Coturnix japonica: one gene and its partner. The protein of the gene in region 1 interacts with the protein of each later gene in a pairwise test. Links are inferred from orthologs where the notes say so. Each region holds a gene or a part of one and is shown in the gene's direction. Other genes may lie near its edges. The genes, in order: HSPB11 and IFT27.

What was found.
Region 2: the proteins of HSPB11 (region 1) and IFT27 interact in binary tests that used the Homo sapiens proteins (3 or more experiments, as listed by UniProt). The two-hybrid records come from large-scale screens. The link is inferred for Coturnix japonica from reciprocal best matches to the Homo sapiens genes IFT25 and IFT27.

Annotation. Positions count from the first base shown.
Region 1 is NC_029523.1:22,426,751-22,430,749, reverse strand, and holds HSPB11 (intraflagellar transport protein 25 homolog), read left to right. Parts: upstream 1-1,493; 5' UTR 1,494-1,527; intron 1,528-1,632; exon of another isoform or gene 1,633-1,689; intron 1,690-1,784; 5' UTR 1,785-1,788; coding exon 1,789-1,895; intron 1,896-2,099; coding exon 2,100-2,206; intron 2,207-2,561; coding exon 2,562-2,630; intron 2,631-2,788; coding exon 2,789-2,832; intron 2,833-3,119; coding exon 3,120-3,227; 3' UTR 3,228-3,370; downstream 3,371-3,999. Other genes in the region: LRRC42 (leucine-rich repeat-containing protein 42), read right to left, coding at 1,033-1,493. UniProt on the Homo sapiens protein: Component of the IFT complex B required for sonic hedgehog/SHH signaling.
Region 2 is NC_029516.1:47,142,638-47,146,983, forward strand, and holds the start of IFT27 (intraflagellar transport protein 27 homolog), read left to right. Parts: upstream 1-1,540; 5' UTR 1,541-1,652; coding exon 1,653-1,686; intron 1,687-2,691; exon of another isoform or gene 2,692-2,958; intron 2,959-3,050; exon of another isoform or gene 3,051-3,278; intron 3,279-4,346. UniProt on the Homo sapiens protein: Small GTPase-like component of the intraflagellar transport (IFT) complex B that promotes the exit of the BBSome complex from cilia via its interaction with ARL6. Not involved in entry of the BBSome complex into cilium. Prevents aggregation of GTP-free ARL6.

The DNA of each region.
Region 1 (3,999 bases):
ATGATTAAGACTTCGACTTGCAAGCATCGCTATATATAATTGGGCCCTATATTATATATAGGGGCTTATTTACAGACCATTGCTCGCTGGACTCCAACCAGAGCTGTGGCTGCACCCCAGGCAGCAGTTACACAGCGGGTTATTTTCTTTGGCTGTGTTGGTTCTCTGATCCGATTCACTCTGCAGCCACGCAAGCATCTGTGCCGGAACTATTCAGCAGGAGATTTAGAGATGGGAATGCGCTGTAATATCACCTACCTCCATCTCCCCTGTGTTTATGGCAAGACAATCCCTCAACTCACTAATATCTCCTGAATTTACCTCTTCGCCCCCATGGCAAAGCAATCCCTGAGGAGAACATTCTCAGCGGTGAAATTAGGGGTGCTTACTATAATCCCTGGAACCTTTTTGCCTATGTGAATAAGAGCATTTTCTCTGTGCTGGTGCCCATACTGAAGCACTCCACCACATCCCTCTGCCACGCAGCTCAGATGGGTGGAAGGCAGTTGGAATACAAGACAGTTCTTGATAGGTAATGCGAGTTTTACTATGAGTGGGCTCTTAGAAATGAGGCTCATAAAACATGTCTTAGCGTCTTACTTCCTGGATTTCAAAGATTTGACATTTAACCGAGCTTGTTTTAATGATAAAATATGCCAGAGGTAATTCCATTTCTGAATGGAGCTCATAAAAGGTACCTGTACTAAAAGAGGGAGTACCTTGAAGGGATAAAACAAGGTAATTGACCTCTGCTCAAACATTCCTGCTGTGCTTGGCACTGCAGATAAACGTGCCTGTCCTTTGAGTTTAAACTGAATAAAGCAGCCCTTTCTGAATGTATAGATGGAAGGCAGACTCATTATATCGCTGCCCAAGACTTCAGCAGGAGCAAAGCTTTAAAAGCAGGCCCAGTTTTCAGCTTGGTGAGGCACTCTAGTAGGAAAAGAAACTGTGGATGTTTGAGATTGAGAGAAAACAAGAGAACCTGAAGCACAGCAGCACAGATGCTGATGTGTCACTGGGTGCTCCTACCTGTTCCGCAGACACAAGGAGCACAGCACCAAGCTGCCATACGCCTCGGTGAACTTCTGCAGGGCTCGCAGTCCCGTCACGGGTTCTGTGAATTTCTGCCTCGCTTCTGCGGCCGAAAAGAGCTTCTCTGCGATCTGCTCCGGGAAACCCACCAGCGAGTCGATGTGGTCAACGTTGTCGGAGATGTAGGCCAGCACCAGGCTGAACAGGGACTTGGCCGAGTAGCGCAGGTTGCCCTCCTTGGTGTAGGTGAAGATGAAGTGCTCGGTCCTCGGCCTCCTGGCCCTGTCGTCCTCCCCGTTCAGACGCAGCTCCACGGAGAACCCAGCGGGGAACAGGCGGACAGGCCGCGCTGTGCGGGCCCCGTTCTGGATGCCGCCCGCACCCGGGCTCACCACGCGCAGCTCCCCACGTTCACGCACGTAGATCGGCCCGGCAGCCGAGTGGAGCCAGTACGACATTCCCCACGTCCAGCACTGCGAAAAGAAGCCAGAGGTGGGTAAAGCTGCCGGGGGCGGGGGCTGGGGAAGGGGCCCGAGAGCGAGCAGGAGCCGGGCCGGGCTGCGGGGGGAGCTGAGCGGGATCCCGACCCCCCGTTACCTGCCCCGGGGCCGCCCCGACACGCCGTCACCCGGCCGGGCCGCTCCGCCCGCTCCCGCCGCCCATCGCGGGGCCGAGCCGGGGGCGGGCAGCGGGGGGCGGCGCCGTTCGGTTGCCGGCCTCCTGTTGGGTTCCGTCCTTTGCTTTCCCAGCTCCATGGTGAGGATGCGGGCCGCTGACTGGTGTCTGAGCGCGGCGGGAGCTGCCCTCGTCATGGCCACATCCAGCGACACGGAGCACCCGGCCCGGAACGTGGCGGACGGGTGAGGGCTGCGGGCCGGGATCGTGGGATGCTGCTCACAGGGCTCATAACCATGAGCTGAATCCGGCCCTGCAGCACAGCAGCCCCGCTGCACACGGCCGTTCGGTTACAGCACCCCACATAGAGCGGCTTTCCACTCTTTATTCTGTTTATTGGTCGTAAGCAATGAGCCGCAGCGGGTGCTTTTGTGCTGTTTTCTCCACAGAAGTTCCGACACGTTCTGGACGACAACAGGGATGTTCCCGCAGGAGTTCATCATTGGATTTCCAAAGCGTGTGACCATCAGCAAAGTGGGCATCCAGTGCTACCTGGGTAAGGGCTCCCATAGCAGCACATGGCTCACGTTGTTTGGGGCACATATCTCTGCTTATATGTACACACTCACAGCACCGTCTTAGTTCTGAATAGTCACATTTAATACACATTAATGCATTAATACATCACAGAACCATTAAGGCTGGAGAAGACCTCTCAGTTTCCCCCTCCATGACCCACTGCCCATGTCCCTCAGTGTCACATCCCCACGTCTCTGAAACACTTCCTATCCCCTACATTAGAGCAGGCGTTAATTATAAGGTACTTTGTAGATGAAACATGATGCAACAAACATAAAGATCCCGTAAACCTCAGCATTTATACTGATACTTTAAATGCATCTGTATTTTAGTGCGGAGCTTGAGGATTGAAAGAAGCGTATCTAAAGACCCAGTAGACTTTAAAGAGTGCGTTGAAAAAGGTAAAGCTCTGAGCATGAAGCGGTGGCACTTGGGCTACATTGCTGTTTGCAGACATAGAATGCTGCATGAGGGTTACAGGCCCTTCAACCTGGTGAATTTCTCCCAGCACTGCACCCTGTTCCTTATTATTTGCTGAAAACAAACCCATGTTTTCTAGATTTGCAGCACACGGAAGGACAGCTTCAAATGGAAGAATTTCCTGTGAGTATACACGGGATACACCGTCATGGGGTGGGATGTCTAAACTAACTGGGTGGAAGCTATGAGAAAGACACGATTATTGCCAAGCTGACATTAGATGTATTGCCCTTTGCTGCTGCTTCTCTGTTGATGATGGTGTGAAATGGCACCTCAAGTTACTAAAAGAACTGAACTTACCTCTCATTTGGAAACAAACATCTCTATCTTTGTCATGAGCTTCTGTAAGTAGTTTGATAGTTACGTTACTACCAAGAATGAGCTAACGTTATTTCTCCTTTTCTTTACAGCTTCCTGATTTTCAGGCCACTTATTTGCGATTCATCATCAAATCCGCCTTCGATCATTTTGTGTCGGTGCACAGGGTGATGGCAGAGGGCACAGCAGAAGACACTTAAGTCTGGCTTAAATTTGTACCTCTTCTTTTTGGTATTATATTTTCGTATCTCTATCATAAGAAATATTTATTACAAACTGTGTTTAGGTCAGACTTTGTTAATACATGAATTAAAGCTCAGTTTCCTGTGAGATGTTTCCCTTACACTCTGAGTAGAAAAGGTGTGAAATACTTAAATGAGAGGTATTACTTCTTACTGTCAAAGAAGCTCTTCAGAAGTTCTTATACTGGAAATTTGCTCATTAACTCAAAATAAACTGTTTAATAGGATGAATGTAAGCTACTAATGCTTGCAAATAACCAGAGGGGAACAGAAACCAAGCGAGAGCTGTGCTGCTCTGAGAGGTTTGTTTGTTTATTTGTTCGAGTAACGGCAGATCAATCCTTTGTTTCTAAAAATATTTTCTGAAATCAGGTCACAGCTGTCAGTGCTTTATGCTGTGACTGTCATAACAAATATTATAGAAACAAATGTCCAGAGATTGTGTCATTCAGAAGCCTTCTGAGGTGAGAGAAACTGAACGTTTAGGAACATGGTTTGTATGCGAGAGAGACAGAGAAACTTAATGATGTGAAATCAGTTGTTTTGCCTGAAATTGGCTCTTGCAAATGTCACCACCACGAAGGTTGAACCTGCACCGTATTCTTAAAGAATGTAGATGTTGGTGTCCAGTCATAACAGCTGACTGACAACAGAGCTGAACATCTCCAGACACATGAATGGTGAACCACGATACGGATGCTCTCTAAATGCACATGCGTTGTTCTCTTTC
Region 2 (4,346 bases), on another chromosome or scaffold:
ACGTGACTTCAAATTTCATGGTCTTGCAGCTGCCAGAGCAACTTATCCTGCTCACATTAGACAAGGAGCACTTCCCACACTTAAGGAATCTTGCTATATTTGATAAAGAAATGAAATGGGTGAGTAAAGGAGTGCTCTATTTCTCTCTAGCTGCTAAGTACAGGATTTAACCCAATCAACACTTCTCTGGGGTAAGAACCTCATCCTGTGCTGTGGTTTTTGGTATTCTGCTTTGTGTTGTTTGACTTGGGTTTTCTTCAAGCAAGCAGGGTTTCTTTCCCCCTCCCTCTTCATGTATTCAAGATGAGAGAAGCTTCAGTGAGCACAGTTACCAGTACTGCAATTTATTCAGCAGCAACCCCTGTGGACTGCTAACAGCAGAATGCAATTCTGCTTGGATTATAAGGTGTAGATAAGTAATTCCATCCTTAATCTATCACTGTCAGTGCAGACAAGGGAAGGACTTTTACCTACGAGAAATGAAGCAGAGGAAAAAATATATATATAATGTGTGGGGCAAAAGGACAGCTGAAAAATAGCAAGGATACGAGTCCTTGCTGCATGCTATGTGCATGCAGAGCTAAGCAGGAAAAGGGGGAACAAGATAAAGTACCAGGATGCTCGAAGTAAAGAATGTGATAAAGGATATAGCCAGGTTCAAAGCAGAAATTCTCAATAGCAATGAGAATTCCACTTCTAGCATAATCTATGCCTTCTGGTAAAGGTCCCCAGTGTGAATTGGTAGAGGTGTTTTGAGACCTTGGTAAATGCTGATGGATTTTACTTTACATTTACATTACAGACGCGATCGATAAATCTCAAGTACATCATAATGAAGCCTCAAAGCCTTTGCATGCAAACCTGTCAGTAAACTGGGACAATATAACAAACAAGGATAACACAAGGGTTGCACAAATAGAATCACAGAACTGTAGGGGCTGGAAGGGAACTCTGGAGATCACCTAGTCCAACCCCCTGCTAAAAGCAGCTTCCATGGAGCACAATGAAGAATGGTGGGCAAACCAAGTCGCAAATAACACACTTGAAGCCTCACCCCACAGCCATGCATTTACACGGCCCTACACCCAGCCATACATGCGAGTGAAGGGCTCTTCTGCCCGGAAGATCCCATTGCTTGGAATGGAGATAGGTGTAGGACGGAAGCTTTTCTGCCTCGCTCACACTTGTCGTTTTGCTCCTTAGTGCTTCCAAACTCCTCTTCTGTAATCTTTTGCCCGCAGCTTTATTTTTTTTCTGCTCTTTTTCAAGTGAGTTAATTTTGGCTAGGTGGTACCGTCCCCTGAGCTCTATCCAATAACAAGTCGGTTCCTACATACGTAGTTAGTTGCTGGGCAGAAAACACTCCGCTTTATCACAGCGGCACCGCCCTCCGCCTCGCCTCAGCCACAAGAAGGGCGGGAGCCAGGATTTGAATGACAGGACGCTCGGAGGGCGGGCAAAGACACAGCAACCAATAGTAACTCCGGCTAGCCTTGACGAGCAGAGCTCGTAGCCAATCGGATTTAGCGTCCCGGAGGAAGGCGGGGCGCCCCGTTGCTAGGGTCGCGCTGTTGTTAGGGCCGCGGCAGAGCGTGGTGGCGGTCGCCTCAGCATTCCCGGCCCGGCGCATCCGCCTTCCCCGGGCCGGGGCGATGGTGAAGCTCTCCGCCAAGTGCCTGCTGGCAGGTGAGTCCGGCCTCCGCCGCCTCGCAGGCATGGACAAGACCCCTTAACGAGGTGGGAGTTCTGGGAGGGAGTTGGTGGCGGGTCGTGCGGCCTGGCAGATCGGCGGAGGTGACGGGAAAGGATTGGGCAGCACCCCGGGGGATGGGGCGGTGGTACCGCCTCCCCCGTTCGCGTGGGAGGGCGTGAAGTGCGGTGAGATCGGCTGGGGAAGGGGAGGGTCTGAAGCGAGTGGGTGGGGGAGGATGGAGGGGGAGGGCAAAGGGTGCCTGCTGCACGGAGCCTTCCTTCCCTCTAAGTGAGCTGGAGGTTATTCTGAGGGGGGGGAAAGTGAGGTGAAGACTCCGCTTTGTTCAGTCAGGATGGATTACGGAGGTGCTGAGAGTAAATTCAGCCGACTGTCAATGCTACAGGAAGGAAAGGCTTTTCATTGAGCGCATGGTATCAGCCACAAGCGCAGAACCAGAAAACCTTGGTGTGCTGACAACTCTCCAGTTAACTCTTTGCTTCGACTTTGTTTTCCAGAATTAATCCAGAATTAAATCTTTTCTTTTTCCTTGGAAGTAGCGAACTGTCGGCTCACACAAAGCCAAGTGCAAGCTTTGGCAAATGCAAAAGAGTGCTTTTCCTTGCTGTTACTGTTGACAGTTACCATGGACAGCATGACTACCTTACGCATCTTCAAGATTTGAGACTTGCACATCACTTCCCATTTGGTAGTTTCCAGATCCTGGTATAGGTTTTCTTTAATGTTACCAAAGGCTGATTCCATCACACTCCCGAACTCACACGGGTTTTCTTTGTATGACTCAGTTATGTTCTTAATCCCAACTGGGTTTGAAGCTGCCCTTTCAATTCTGCTCACAATGCAAACAACAGAAACGCTCTGTTCCATGTCATAGAAACAGATCCCTTTGTAGTGCTCTTAAGAACTAGGATAGTACCTGTATCTTGTTGAAAATAATGAATTAATGCGGCAGTCCAGGCAAAATAACTTCTTTCTTTCAGGAGAGAATGTAATAGATGTAAGAGGCGAGAAACCACAACAACCTGGAGAGAACAAGAGAATACAATTACATTGGTAGAAGCAAAAACATCTGAGATAGATCGAGAAATTCTTGTGTACCTAAGGAAATGATTACGAAGAATAGAACGGCTGACAGTACTGGGAGCTGCACCGTGGTCAAGGAGAACAGCAGAGGGGAAAGGACTTTTGTTAGCAGAACAGATGCTATTAACTTGACAATAGAAAGCGATCCCCGTGTTATCTCAAGGGTAATTTACAAACACAGAGGAAGATACTGTTTGAGTTTACTTTGGAGACACCATGAAAGGGTTTTCTTTGTAAAACACGTATTTGTCCATAGTAGGTCTTTCGGAGACACGCAATGGTTTCTGGCAGAATAACAGAAACATGGATGGAATAAATTCTGTGGGATGCAGTATTTGCAGACGAGACCAAACTAAATGGAAAGTGCAAGGAAACTTATTTTGAGGGAGGAGTGTAATGATATAATGGGCGAAGAGAATGGCAAAGAAGAAGAGGGGGGAAAAAAAAGCTGAGGCTGCCAAATAAAAGAAAAGGAACACGTTAGGTAAGAATTTGCACTCGATGTTGAAAGTAAAAGAAGCTTGCAGAGTTTGTAGCTGTGTATGCTTTTCTATCTCATTTTACAAAGACAGATCTAATTATCTATTGAAATACAGAATAGCTTCCACTCAGAACAGAGTGTTGTCTTCAGCACAAGCTTGAACTGATCAGGGAACAAACAGGCTGATTTACCAGATTTTCCTGTCTAAATATTATGAACCCAACTCAGCTCAAAGTAAGCAAGCATGCTAAAAATGTTTAAACAAGAACTGCTTTGGTTGGTACATCCAGTAGCAATTGTAACTATCCAAAATACTCTTCTTTGAAATATGATGTGAGGGGATAACTTACCAATCTCCTTCAAAACACCATCTAGGATATTTTAATAGGGCCAGAATGTACCCCTTTCTGAGGGTTTTTTTATTACCAGTATAACATAGGAAGTTTGTGTTCCCAGCTTGACTGTCATGAGTGTTCTTTGCAGGGTAAAGCTAGAACACTGAGATACTTAATTCCTGGTTTTTGTCCCTTTGAACTATCCAGGCTGTTGAAAGGATATGTGAAGAGAAGATAAGCTTCCTGAGAACATTAACGTGGCTCTGTTTTGCAGGGACTGTGATCTGTTTTGTGGAATGATTTGGGCTTAGGTGAATTCTGCAGTTCTCTGCTGTCACTTTAGGTCTTGCAGAATTTTCTAACAGTGGGCCAAAGAAGGGCAGAAATTTACCCAAAGTGTTATGCAAGTGACACCAGTAAACCTTTGTTCTAGAGGAGCAAAAATGAAAGCCCTTTAGTTTGCCTTCCATACAGGGATGAATCAGCAGGCTTCCTTTCCAGCCAAGTGACATTTGCTTCTGTTATGCCCAGGATGCAACTAATGAGCCACCAGCAGCATTGAGTCAGCAAGAGCTGCTCACTTAGCAGGGTCAGCAAGAAGAGTTCATCGAGGAATGTTACCAGATTAAGCAGCTTTGAAGCGTATGTGTATTTTAAGGAGAGAAAACAGCCAATGCACCTCAGTCTCCCTTATCATGTTGTCATATTCTTTGTGTCACCACACCTGGAAAACATG